Linked DNA regions of Xenopus tropicalis. The protein of the gene in region 1 interacts with the protein of each later gene in a pairwise test. Links are inferred from orthologs where the notes say so. Each region holds a gene or a part of one and is shown on either strand. Other genes may lie near its edges.

Region 1 (4,738 bases):
CAGCGACTTACATTTTCACCGGTGGGATGGCAATTTGGGGAGATTAGTCGCCCTCGAACAGGGAGATTTGTCGCGGGTGACTAATCTCCCCGTGTGCCAGAGCCCTAAACCAATAAATGTATATTTTTTAAGTTAAAGGGACAGTAACACCAAAAAATGAAAGTGTATAAAAGTAATTACTATATAATGTAATGCTGCCCTGTACTGGTACAACTGGTGTGTTTTCATTAGAAAGACTACTATAGTTTATATAATAAAGCTTCTGTGTAGCCACGGGGGCAGCCATTTACAGGAGAAAAGGCACAGGTTACTTAGCAGATAACAGATAAAACCCCCATTATATTCTACAAAGCTTATCTGTTATCTGCTATGTGCCTGTGCCTTTTCTCCTTTTTCCCAGCTTCAATGGCTGCCCCCGTGTTGACATAGCAGCTCATTTATATAAACTATAGTAGCGTTTCTGTTGCAAACTTACCAGTTTTACCAGCGCAGGGCAACTGTACATTATATTTTAAATACCTTAAAACACTTTCATATTTTGGTGTTACTGTTCCTTTAAGAATATTGGTGTGTAGGCAGCCAACTATTGAGTGCTATTCTGATATCTACTGGGAGCTGCTATCTTGCTACCTTCCCATTGTTCTGCTGATCGCCTGCTGTGGGGAAAAGGATGGGGGGGGGCTGATATTACTCCAGCTTGTAGCGCAGCAGTAAAGTGTGACTGAAGTTTATCAGAGCAAAGGTCACATGACTGAGGCACCCTGGGAAATAGAGAATATGGCTAGCCCCTTGTACAATTACAAAAATATAAAAAAAAAACCTGTTTACATTTTGAAAAACAGATTTCAATGCAGGATTCTGCTGGAAAAGCTATATTAAACTGATGCGGTTTGAATAAAAAAACATTTTGTATTTTTAGTTGCCATCTATGCTATACAGGGATCACAAGACAGGATATTCTACATGGCAGCAAAATAATAATTTATTTATAAACATTTATATGTAATCTATAACAACATAAAGGAGAACTAAACCCCCGCAATCCCCAGCCCCCCTTAACTGGCCTCCAGTGGACCACATCTCCGCACAGTATGTATGTATGTATAACAGTATATTCCATTCAAAAGTGTTCCTACTTGTGAATCTATCACAACCATGCAGAGGTGCGCAGCAGAGTTGACAGATGTCATCTTTTGTCTTTTTGGATCCTCTTCATTCACTAAACTTATAGAGAGCTTGCGGGAGTACACACAGTTGAGGCAGCTCCCCAACCCAGCTTTAACTGCCGGGAAACTGGCAGAAGAGGGGTTGTTTGCCTTTAAATTAACTTTTAGTATGATGAAATTCTGAGACAATTTGCAGTTGGGCTTCATTTTACATTATTTGTGGGGGGGTTTTAATTACTTAGCTTTGTTTAGCAGCTCTCCAATTTGGAATTTCAGCAGCTATCTGGTTGCTAGGGTCCAAATTATCCTAGCACCCAGGCAGGGGTTTGACTGAAAGACTGCAATATGAGTAGGATGCATTGAACATAAGGAATAAAAAGTAACAGTGAGCCTTATTTAAAAACTGCAAAGAGTTAAAAGAGGAAGGCAACTCATTTACAACATTCTACGATATGGATTTATATTACCCATGTATTTTTCCCTCTGATAAGCCTTATAATAACTTTTTATACAGTTTTTTTTATTGTGTTTTCCAGGTTATTGTGGAAAAGGTTTCAGGTTCCCAGATTGTAGATATCGATAAACGGAAGTACCTGGTTCCATCCGACATTACAGTGGCCCAGTTCATGTGGATAATCAGAAAACGGATTCAGTTGCCATCAGAGAAAGCAATCTTCTTGTTTGTAGACAAGACTGTGCCCCAGTCTAGGTGAGTGGAATTATTTACAAACATGTATTTTATCGTAGCACAGAAATACCTGAGGTTGAATGTACTGCCTGGAAAATTATTAAGGACTTCCAAGACACATCCCCCCAAAAAAAGTATTGAACATTTCAAGAAGAAAATCTATTTGTAATGATTCCCTAACATTACATAATGTGCTCACTGCAGTTGCTCATGTGAGGCGGAACTACTAAATGGAAGCAGCTAGCAGAGTAATCATTCCTCTAAAATCATTAGAAAATGACATAGCAGCAATTGCTTCAGACATTAATGAAACCGGTATTCTTGGCATTCCCCTCCCGATAAACTACCATACCTCCACAGATGGAGGAGGAGCATCTCCACATAATGTAGGAAAATGTAAATGTAATATCCCATCCAGTCTTTGGTCCTGGGTCTTGAAACAGTGTAGCAGAAGTCAGTTCTCCATGTTTGTTTAGCAGCTGGCTACTGCTACCTTGTTTCACTAGTCCGAACCAGCAGTTTTTGAGAATATAATTAAACCGGACAGATACTGCTTTTAGTAGTAACTACATTTACAGATAACTTTAGAACTATTAACCATTTGTAATTAAACAATATTGGAAAGCTGCTAAGAAAAATATTTTTCCATTTAAAGGAGAAGGAAAGTAATTTTGGCATTTTACTGCCAATAGATTCACCACATTAGTGCCACCTACAATGCTATATTTATTCTGCAGAAAGCTTTACCATACCTGAGTAAAGAGCCCTAGAAGCTCCCTCCGTTTGTTTAAGATAGCAGCTGCCATTTTAGCTTGGTCTTCATACCTTCCTGCTGCAGCTCTAGCCATTGGTCGCACAGATTACACATTCTTAAGGGAGGGGGGAGCAGAAAAAGAGAGAGAGGAGAGAGCTGTGCAGACTCTGGCCCGGGAATGAAGGATATTTTTGAGAGAGGAAAGTCTGTGACATAAGAACATGTTTACAAAGAAGACAAGAAAATCCTGTGTTTCTTTTGATAGAGGACTCAGTGCAGCTTTTCTGTGAGTTCTTATGGCTGTATTTACATAGAACTTTCTGATAAAGCTTACTTAGTTTTTACTTTTCCTTCTCCTTTAAGGTCACACTTAAGATACATTTTGGACATTCTTTAATGTTATGTTGATATTTTTTCTATAATTTTTATATAAAATGGATTGCAGTGCTGAAATAAGAAGTTATAGTAAACTTTCAACTAAATGTTTTGTCTTTACTCTCATCTATCTGTAGCCTAACAATGGGACAACTCTACGAAAAAGAAAAAGACGAGGATGGATTCTTATATGTGGCCTACAGTGGAGAGAACACATTTGGTGTTTGAGTCTAGTTACAGCCAGTGAATCTTGTAAATATAGGTGGTTTTGTTTTAACACCACACATAAACTCCCATCCATTAGGAAACACTTCTAAAACTGGATACATTTCAGTAATGCACATGTCTTGGTATTCATGTTTGTGTTTAGGCTAGTAAATTAAGATAATTTAATTATTATTATTATTATTATTTTCTTGTTCTGTCATTTAACATTGCTGCTTAAAGGGTATTGTGACAGTTCCTTTAGCAGCAGTTATATTATGCCATTTACACATAATGGAAAGTGTGATTTGAGTAAATGAACATTGTATGTTTTATTCAGAATACTCCTGGATTCATTTTAGGCCTGCTTTCATAGGACTCATAAGAATATACGCCATTAATCAGTAACCGTCCTCTTACTGCTATGTAACAGTCCAACTTTACAAAATCCATCAAATAAATGTACATTATTATCATACAATAAAATGTTCTGTGTGATATCTGTCCCAAGATATTTACATACCAAAAGCAATTTTAGTGTTAAAGGGGTGGTTCACCTTTATGCTAATGTTTAGTATGTTATAGAATGTCCTATTCCTAGCCTGACTCCTTCCTATACACAGATCAGGCTAGGCTCTATCAATCGATCGCCGCATAGTTGATGCATCTCCTGATACTTTCCCCGGCATCACCATATCGCCTTTGTTCAAATGACAGGAAGCCAAGTTTTTTACAGGTATTTTCTACTAAAGCATTCAAAATAACAAATGGTTTTCAGGATAGGGCAATTATTGGGGGAGGGTAGAATAGATTTTTTAGTTAAAAATTTTAATGTTACTTTTCCTTTAAAAGCCCAAATTCCTGAGAGATTCCATCCTAAGGGTACGAAGAGTGGTTGAGTCACCCGCAATAGGGCTTTCCACCGGCGACTCCTTTTGTTGCAGCTAGTGATTTTCTCTGATCCTTGAAAGGGTTTCTGTCATGATATTTATGGTGAACTTTTTATTTCTAAATGACACTGTTTACATAGCAAATAGTTCACTCTACCATTTAAAATGTTGTTCTTAAACCAACAAATGTATTTTTTAGTTGTAATATTGGTGTGTAGGCGCCATCTCTGTGCCCAATTCTGAGCATTCAGAAGGAGCCAGCACTACACATCAGAACTGCTTTCAGGTAACCTATTGTTTCTTCTATTCCCATGTAACTGAAGGAGTCCCAAGCTGGACTTGGATTTCTTACTATTGAGTGCTATTCTGATATCTACTGGGAGCTGCTATCTTGCTACTTTCTCATTGTTCTGCTGATCGGCTGCTGGTAGAGGGGTGATATCACTCCAACTTGCAGCTCAGCAGTAGTGTGACCGAAGTTTATCAGAGCACAAGTCATATGACTGTGGCAACCTGGGAATTGAAGAATATGGCTAGCCCCATATGGAATTTCAAAATTAAATATAAAAAAATCTGTGTTTTTGATTTCAAATGGATTTAAAAAAAACAAAAAACGTTTTCCCATAAGAGTATTTCTTTGATATTTTATTTGGTATCCTCT
Region 2 (5,139 bases), on another chromosome or scaffold:
GACTTTCTCTTCAACGTTATGGCATTTATTATAGGTTTCTGTTAGAGCCTCTTACCCTACCCATGTCCTGGCGAGAACTGACATATATAAACAATTATTCCTTTCCTTGTCCTGTATGTAGAAACTGCATATAAATAGATTCTACTCCAGTTTAAGCAGAGGGATTCTCTGTAAAGTTGTAATCTAATTATCTGCCTCACAAAGACCAAACATGGAAGAGCTTCAGTTTCCGTGTTTAGCTCAAGACAAAAACCACAGATGTTTTGTGATTAAAACAATAGGCACAAGCCCTTTCCATTGCACGCATGTTGCACAGGGGGGCACAATGTGAGCCAACCACAAACAGATTTTATTCACCCCCCTTCGTAAGCATTCAAATAGCAATGGATAGCTTACGATTTCATAATCTGCAAAGCCATGACCTCCTTCCGTAATGTGGACACGTCATCCTCCTGCTTCTTCTTCTCCTTATTGAGAAACTGGATATAATCTATGGCTGTAGGAAAGACAGGAAAATGGATTATGCCCTTGAGTAAAAAACACACATTACTATTCTTTCATGCTTTATTGCCCTTATTTTGCCCATTTATGAATTGCACCTCTTTCCCCCTTAGTTTACCGCAGTACAACACACCCACACCGTTACTGAACTGTCTGGAAATAAAATGTTTCCCGCTCCCGCTAACCTGCCCCCATTGGCCTATGGGCAGCTCTAATCATATAAAAATCAAGGCTTGATTCTCTATTAGTCTATACACGGCATAGGGTGTGGGGTTTTTTTGTAATAAATAATAAATGAGCAAGAAAAAAAAGTAAACGCATGCTGAAAATAACGGAGCCTTATTTGGCTTTCAAACTTTAAAATGTAACCATCAATTAGCAGAGTTAGCGTAACCAGAGATGAGGTCTGTATAAACAACCCATCCCCTTCACTCAATAACAGAGCCTTATCCGGCTTTTAAACTTTCCCACTTTACCATTAATTAGCTGAATAAAGGTGGCCATACACCTTTTGGGTTCTTTAGCTTATCTGCCGTGTATGGGGACCTCCGACAGGCCTCCCCAACCGATATTTGGCCTAAAATTGGTCAGATGTAGTTCAGGCAGGTTTGATTTTTCTGTCGGATCAAGGACCTTGTTGGCTCAGTTATGCCAAATAAATCGCATTAGCACGATATCCCCCACCCAAGGTCGGCATATCAGGGGAAAGACCACTTGTTTAGCGAGGTTCCAGTACCATGTATAGCCACCTTTTGTTTAAAGATAATAAGCTCTGTATAAACAACCCACCCCCTTCACTCTTTGTTGGACTGCTGTGGCTATGCACTGGTAATCTAACCTTCTACTTCATAAGAACCATATCTATTTGTCCTGTTTAGTTCAAGAAACAAAAACAATAAATTTTTTTGTGATAAAAACAACAGGCAGAGAGTATATCTGGCTTATGTCCTATTTGTTACACTCATGTTGAACAGGAAGGTACTGTCCCTGGAAATGCTTGCAGATTGCTAGTTTGGCTAATCATAATATCCATTTACCCTAAATGCAGCTATATCCCAACGAAGCAGCATTTCAGCTGATAACTGCTCCCCACACCATACCCAGAAGTGGCCCTTACATGGCGCATAACCATACAGCTATCAATACAAGGCAGTTGCAATTGTCATTGATGTGTGTGGGGGGGGTACTGTGGGGGCAGAATACTTACTCTTCTGCAGAACAACAGCCTTGCTGAGTTTTTGTGTTCCTATAGCGATGTCTTGCTGCTGACAGGTGGGCACGATGCACTGCAAGTCGTCGTAGCCTTTCTGCAAGATACAGGCAGAAGCCATTATTGTGGTGAGAAACCCAGGAAGAGCCCTTTACATTCTATTATAAATCTTCCCTGACGAAGGTTCCAGTAGGGAACCGAAACGTAGGACTAAATAAACCTCACCGTTTGCATTTACCCATGAGTATTCTCTTCAATATGATCGTGGAAATCCTATGAGTGCCGACACCTCTCTATGCTATTCTATTATAAATCCATATAGGAAAAAAAAAGGACCTATTCATACTAGGTGTATGTAAATGTACATGATATTTTGGGTTTCTGTACCAGCCCAAGGCACCCACAGCCCTTTAGCAGGGAAGATCTGTGCCCCCCAAGATGCCCCAGTAGCCCCCCATCTTCATTTCTGCTGATTCCCAGCACATACTATGTGCTGCTGTCACTTACCTGAGTTTAGGGACCCACTCACAATATACAGTATATATACAATATAAATGTCACAATATAAGGCTGACTAGTAATTAATACAGATCATTGCTATATGGCAGCTCTGAAACCAGTGCAATTAGCAGCAGATTAATTGGCCCTGTAGCATCAGCTTATATGACAGGCCAACCTTATTTTCTGATTGATAATTTATGATGACCCCTAAAGCTTTTATTCTTAACGGTCTCTGATACCCCCACCCCATCCTGGTCAAGCAGGACCCTATGTATGATGCCGTTGCAATATAACCTTACCCTTATAGATACAGTATCTAATAATCAAGCCCACTACACTATGGGCTGTTTACAGCAAATACATTGCAGATACAAGGGGTCACACCAAGCCCCATAGTCACTGTAGATATGGGGGCTGCCCCCCCGGCCACCATTATGTTATATCTACAGTGAATTCTTTGCAGACAGCCCTCAGTCTTCAGATTATTTCCCCAATATGTAGCCTTCAATTCTTACTTTGATGGCATCTCTTCTCTTCTGCTCAGCCTGGGTGTGTGCCCGTCTGCGTCGGTCCTTGTAGTCATTTTTTATGGTCTCTTGGCGGTCATCACTGTCCTCGTCATCTGAGGTTAGGGAACAAGCATTGTCCATCATGTTGCAGGCTACAGAAACGGTGAGGCACATAGATGCTATTTAACACCATGATAAGCCAAACCAACCATCTGTCCTTTACCATATAAAGAGAGAGTGCTGCACAGTGCCAAATTAAACTAATAGTTATCAGCTAAGAAGTTATTGATTTCTGCCCAGAAATTGCTGCAATTGCTATTTCACAGTTTGCGTTCAAACATAATTTCCTTCTCATGAGTGGTATCGAAATTTGGAGCAGAGCAGATTGACAGGGAATTTACCCCCAGCCTAAAATATAATTCCTCCTTATTGGGGGTAGAACAGTCCTATTGGGTTTATTTAATGGTTAAATGATTCCCTTTTCTCTGTAATAATAAAACAGTACCTGTACTTGATCCCAATTAAGATATAATTACCCCTTATTGGGGGCAGAACAGCCCTATTGGGTTTATTTCATGGTTAAATGATTCCCTTTTCTCTGTAATAATAAAACAGTACCTGTACTTGATCCCAACTAAGATATAATTACCCCTTATTGGGGCAGAACAGCCCTATTGGGTTTATTTCATGGTTAAATGATTCCCTTTTCTCTGTAATAATAAAACAGTACCTGTACTTGATCCCGACTAAGATATAATTACCCCTTATTGGGGGCAGAACAGCCCTATTGGGTTTATTTCATGGTTAAATGATTCCCTTTTCTCTGTAATAATAAAACAGTACCTGTACTTGATCCCGACTAAGATATAATTACCCCTTATTGGGGCAGAACAGCCCTATTGGGTTTATTTCATGGTTAAATGATTCCCTTTTCTCTGTAATAATAAAACAGTACCTGTACTTGATCCCAACTAAGATATAATTTCCCCTTATTGGGGGCAGAACAGCCCTATTGGGTTTATTTCATGTTTAAATGATTCCCTTTTCTCTGTAATAATAAAACAGTACCTGTACTTGATCCCAACTAAGATATAATTACCCCTTATTGGGGCAGAACAGCCCTATTGGGTTTATTTAATGGTTAAATGATTCCCTTTTCTCTGTAATAATAAAACAGTACCTGTACTTGATCCCAACTAAGATATAATTACCCCTTATTGGGGGCAGAACAGCCCTATTGGGTTTATTTCATGGTTAAATGATTCCCTTTTCTCTGTAATAATAAAACAGTACCTGTACTTGATCCCAACTAAGATATAATTACCCCTTATTGGGGGCAGAACAGCCCTATTGGGTTTATTTCATGGTTAAATGATTCCCTTTTCTCTGTAATAATAAAACAGTACCTGTACTTGATCCCAACTAAGATATAATTTCCCCTTATTGGGGGCAGAACAGCCCTATTGGGTTTATTTCATGTTTAAATGATTTCTTAGTACACGTAAGGTATGGAGATCCAAATTACGGGAAGACCCCTTATCTGCAAAACCCCAGGTCCAGGGCATTGTTGGTAACATGGTCCATACCTGTACTACTTTTGGAAAATATTTTTCACAGTTTAGAATTTATATTTAATCTTAAAGCCTGAAATGTACTTGAATAAAAACATAAAATAGAGCAACCCTCAATGGGTGGAAGGTGAGGTTAATCATGTGCAAACAGTTTTAGGATTTACCTGTATTGGGCACTGAAGATGCACTTGTGGATCCAATGCTGTTTGCTCTGGACACTAAACTTCCCTTCTGCTCCATGACAGGAACTGCAAAAAGATAAAATCATATATACTAAATTAATATGAATGCACCCATGCCAAGTCTGTTGTGATCCAGTTCTTACAGTATCAACAGATTGGATTATTGCCCAAACGTCATGCATTTATTAGGCCGCTTTCTACTTCCAAATTAAACATTACCCCACCCGCGTGTACTAAAAAGCACTTACTTTGCCCAGGGGCAGTAACCCATGGTAACCAATAATGTTGTTTTAAAACAGGTCTGCCTCTCTTGGAATTGCTCTTGTTGTGCCGATAGATTTACTGCTTTCAGACAGAGGAGGGCGCTAACCCTCTATACCAAGCACTGGGATGACTGATTTAAAGACAGGAAGGTGTGTTTGTGGGTAACTAACCAGTTGCTAGGAGCAAATTTGCCCAGTGTTTATAAATGGGCCCCCCTGTTTCTTTTATTTATTTATTTTATTTCACTTTTGGTTCAGCAGCTCTCCAGTTTGGAGTTGCAGCAGCTATCCGGTTGCTCGGGTCCAAATTACCTTAGGGAGTGGTTTGAAAGATGGACAGGTATATGAATAGGAGAGGGGCCTAGAAAAATAAGTCATGAAAGTAACAATAATAATAAAACT
Region 3 (4,232 bases), on another chromosome or scaffold:
CACAGAGTAAATAGTAATAGGTAGTTTCATTTAGATGGAAACATTTTCTCAGTATATGTTTGAATTTTTCTTAGAGCCCAGCAGTGACGATGAATCATATGAAGTGTTGGACCTAACAGAGTATGCCAGACGTCACCATTGGTGGAACCGCTTGTTTGGGCGGAATTCTGGGCCACTTACAGAAAAGTATTCTGTAGCTACACAAATCGTCATGGGAGGTGTGTCAGGCTGGTAAGAAATGCATCTTCAAGGCATACCTACAGTTGTGTTAGCTCTTTCTTAACAGTTCAGTGCCACTCTGTAAAAAAAAAAAAAAAGACTTAATAAATTAGTCAGGATTTAAGAACATTCTTGGTTATAGTTATTTTCTTAAGGGCCAGTATGCTGCCCGGCCACATAGCGCATTCAGTAGACATGCATGCATGGATGCATCACAGAGGTTTCCAGCAAGGTTCAATAATATAATCCAGCTGCTGGATTACAAGTGAGTTTTGCTGATAGTTTTTATGTATTCAAATACAGTATAGAATGTGCCTATATTGTGGGCATTTTATACACAGATTTGCATGTTTATATATCATACAGACTTAGAAATCTTAGAGTATATATTGATATAACTGCTAAATGTATTCAAATATGTTTATTTTATTTATAGGTGTGCAGGATTTTTGTTTCAAAAAGTTGGCAAACTTGCTGCAACAGCAGTAGGTGGGGGTTTCCTTTTGCTTCAGGTAATAAATAACATTTTTCTTATTTTTTGGCAGCAAGTGACGATTTTTACACATATAGGATGTGATGTCTTAAAATGTGGAGCCTTACACAGTTCTGCAGTGATCAATGATACTATGGGTAGCAGATTGCAAAAATGGTCTGGGCCTGGGGGAATAAATACCTATTCTCTGACTTTTATTCCATTCTATTGCTGACACTCCTCTCATGTTACCTATTAAAGGACAAGTATTCATTGTGGGGGTGTGAATGTGTTCGACACCCTCAGTGGATATAATACCTTAGACACCTGCTCTGAGTACTAGTTCATGAGTGATTCTGCCATGATTTCCTGTTGCTCAGCAGTCCTCTCCACAGTTTTGGTGCAGTTTTAGTGCTCATGCACAGTAACTTAATACATTTGCTTTAAAGTTCCTATTTTCCTGTACAACCCATTCAGGCTGTCTACGACACCAGAAGGTTTCTGGGGCATTGGGCAGTCATGCATCCTACTTCATGGCTAGTGTCTTACTGGGGATCTTTCTGTAATTTGGATCATTGTACTTTATGACTACTAAAAAATAATTTAAAAATGAATTGAACTCAATGGGATTGTTTTGCCTCCAATAAGGATTAATAATATCTTGGTTGCAATCAAGTACAGGGTTCTGTTTTATTACTATAGAGAAAAAGGGAATCATTTTTATAAATAAAAATTATTTTATTAAAATGAGAAATGGTCTTATCGTAATTTGAAGCTTTCTAGATAGCAGGTTTGCTGATAACGAATCTCATGCCTGTTATATGGTGGGACTAAGAAGAAAAATACCCCAGGACAGATTACTGCAAGGGGTTTGTTTGTTCTTGCCTTACTTTTGTGCAGTTTCTCCTACTTCCTTAAAGGAGAACCATAGCCCTGGGCGCTAAAAGTCCCCTTAACTATCACTGCCTTGACCCCCCCCTCACCTCTCCTTTATCGCATAGTTCCTAAGTTTAAACGCTGTCCCTATCGCTAACCCCTAGCTAAAAATGCAGAGTAGTGCAGCAGCGTACCTGGCCAACTTCTTCTTACCAACTGAAGACTCTTTGGTTCTTACCGCTGACACAGACCCTGCTTGCGCATGCGCAGGTGAAGCTGATTTCCTGCTACCTTATTCTGCGCAAGCAGGTTCGTATTGGCAGAAAGACCCAAAGTGTCTTCAGTTGGTAAGAAGATATCGGCCAGGAACACTGCTGCGCTATTTTGCATTTTTAGCTAGAGGTTACCGATAGGGACAGCGTTTAAACTTAGGAACTATGCGATAAGGGAGAGGTGAGTGGGGTCTAGGCAGTGATAGTTAAGGGGGCTTTTAGCGCCTGGGGGTATAGTCCTCCTTTAATATTATTCCACAGTTCTAAAGCCAGTAAGTACTATGGCACCCCTGAATCAATAAGGGCACCATAATGAAAGTTACAGATCATGCCTTTGGACACATAGTTTATCACTGTAAATCTATGAGCTGGTATATTAGCCCTATTTAACACAATTTTAACCATTTGACTTACACCGCATACTTAACACATTGAAAGTAAAAAATATATTGACACAAAATGAAATTGGTAGTTCAGTCCTTTTGTAGTATGATGTAGACATTAATATTCTGAGCCACTTTGTATGTAAGCATATATTTATACAGCGCTACTTATGCATGCAGTACTAACAATAAGTACTGATAGAACAAACAGGGTCATTACAATAATAAATGCAAATAAATACAAAGTAAAGTTGTGCTAAATATTAAAGAGACAAGAGAAATGAGGTCCTTGTCCCACAGAGGTTTACATCCAAGTACAATCAAAAAATCTGCAGTTAATTTTGTTGTTTTTGAATTATTCAGCTTTTTTCAGTCGGGGGTTGTGTTGTCCCCCCAATTCGAAAGACAAATAAGGCAACCACTATAAAAAATGAAGACCAATTAAAAAAAATTCTTAGGAATATGGCATTCTGCAACATACTAATGGGTGAGCAAAATAGCAGACGTTTCATTCAGTCCTTTTGTAAAACCATTTTCTGCAATTACAGCTTCAAGTCTTTTAGAGTAAGTACATACCAGTTTTGTACACCATTCAGAATTGATTTTGGTTCATTCATTTATTCAGATTTTCTCCATATTGTTTGCATTAGCCGAATTACATTGATGCACCTCAATTTACTAATAATGCCCCAAGTTCTTGAGCTTGATTGAGATCTGCACTTTTACTGAGCCTCTCCGTTGTTACTTTGGTCTTGTGTTTGGGATAATGTAAAGTAGGGTGGTGCAAAAGAAGCCATTAATAAAAAAAAAAAAATGTTGAAAAGTTGTTGAAGGAAGCATTAGAGCAGCGTATGTGGTGCAAATTTACCACTGTCCACACCTCAAAATTTTCATACCTACAAGTATGGTTTTGTATCATTCTTTATGCTCTAATCTTCTATCTTTATTTTTCTTTCTTCAGATTGCCAGTCATGGTGGATATATACAAATAGATTGGAAGAGAGTTGAGAAAGATGTAAACAAAGCAAAGAGAAAGATTAAAAAGGAAGCAAATAAGTCTGTACCCGAAATTAACACTTTAATTGAAGAGGTAAGAGCCTAAAATGTTGCTTAAAGGGCACATATTGCGTGAATATTATCCCCCCTACTGCAACTGTGGGCTTATAGAAACCGCATTCCGAATGTCCCAAAGCCCAATACACTTTTTTTTGTTTTCCCATCCAGAGTGCAGGCTCTATCAGGCTGTGCTGGGGGAAGAATTATTTTTGTACAATTGGTGCCTTTAAATGTGTTTCAGAAGCCATTTATTGAAATGCAATCTTTTCTAAAGGAAAACCTAGCCAAAAATTTTTATTGCAGAAGAATAGAGCAGACATAAGTGACACAGGAACACCACCTAGCTAAGCCTTTTGTGTATTTATCTTTTACAAATCCCTTGATTTAGTATGCGGCAGAGGCACCTACAAGAGGTTACCAGCTCTTGTATCATTTCAGTGTTATACTCACAAATTTAAGTCCTTCAAAATATGCATAAAGTTAGTAGTGTTCCAGTAATAGGTTTGTCAGTATCACTGAATTATAGGTGAATAATTAGTAGATATATACCTATTGCACATCTTAGAGATACCATGTGGTGGTGTCTCTGTGCAGGTCCTCTAGTGTGACTCTTTTATAGGCTGGGGTACATATGTAACTAGTGCTACAGCCTTATTGGACAATGCCTGCAGAGAAACAGCAAGTGGTGTCAGACCCCAAGGTATCCCTGGTTTGGCATGGGGTTATTCCAACACTGAACACTACCCCACCCGTTCAATAGTGATATGGTTGCAGTTCCTGTTATTTTTAGGAACGTATCTGATGCAATATATGTAGTCCATATAACCGTGAACAAAGCCGCTATTAGTGAATGAAGTTCACTATGTTAAGTCCCACAAAACTTGTCAAACAAAAAGTGATATAAATCAATTCAGATGTGTGAGTGATTTGAAATGCTTTGGTGAACACAGTTCT

Evidence for each region. The genes of interacting proteins can lie anywhere in the genome.
Region 2: the proteins of gabarapl2 (region 1) and mlx interact in binary tests that used the Homo sapiens proteins (3 or more experiments, as listed by UniProt). The two-hybrid records come from large-scale screens. The link is inferred for Xenopus tropicalis from reciprocal best matches to the Homo sapiens genes GABARAPL2 and MLX.
Region 3: the proteins of gabarapl2 (region 1) and fundc1 interact in binary tests that used the Homo sapiens proteins (3 or more experiments, as listed by UniProt). The two-hybrid records come from large-scale screens. The link is inferred for Xenopus tropicalis from reciprocal best matches to the Homo sapiens genes GABARAPL2 and FUNDC1.

Annotation. Positions count from the first base shown.
Region 1 is NC_030680.2:64,272,408-64,277,145, forward strand, and holds the end of gabarapl2 (gamma-aminobutyric acid receptor-associated protein-like 2), read left to right. Parts: intron 1-1,702; coding exon 1,703-1,875; intron 1,876-3,120; coding exon 3,121-3,211; 3' UTR 3,212-3,685; downstream 3,686-4,738. UniProt on the Homo sapiens protein: Ubiquitin-like modifier involved in intra-Golgi traffic. Modulates intra-Golgi transport through coupling between NSF activity and SNAREs activation. It first stimulates the ATPase activity of NSF which in turn stimulates the association with GOSR1.
Region 2 is NC_030686.2:6,140,236-6,145,374, forward strand, and holds part of mlx (max-like protein X), read right to left. Parts: intron 4,541-5,139; 5' UTR 4,533-4,540; coding exon 4,457-4,532; intron 2,874-4,456; coding exon 2,728-2,873; intron 1,809-2,727; coding exon 1,709-1,808; intron 497-1,708; coding exon 397-496; intron 1-396. UniProt on the Homo sapiens protein: Transcription regulator. Forms a sequence-specific DNA-binding protein complex with MAD1, MAD4, MNT, WBSCR14 and MLXIP which recognizes the core sequence 5'-CACGTG-3'. The TCFL4-MAD1, TCFL4-MAD4, TCFL4-WBSCR14 complexes are transcriptional repressors.
Region 3 is NC_030678.2:55,862,439-55,866,670, forward strand, and holds part of fundc1 (FUN14 domain-containing protein 1), read left to right. Parts: intron 1-74; coding exon 75-231; intron 232-655; coding exon 656-731; intron 732-3,183; coding exon 3,184-3,312; intron 3,313-4,232. UniProt on the Homo sapiens protein: Integral mitochondrial outer-membrane protein that mediates the formation of mitochondria-associated endoplasmic reticulum membranes (MAMs).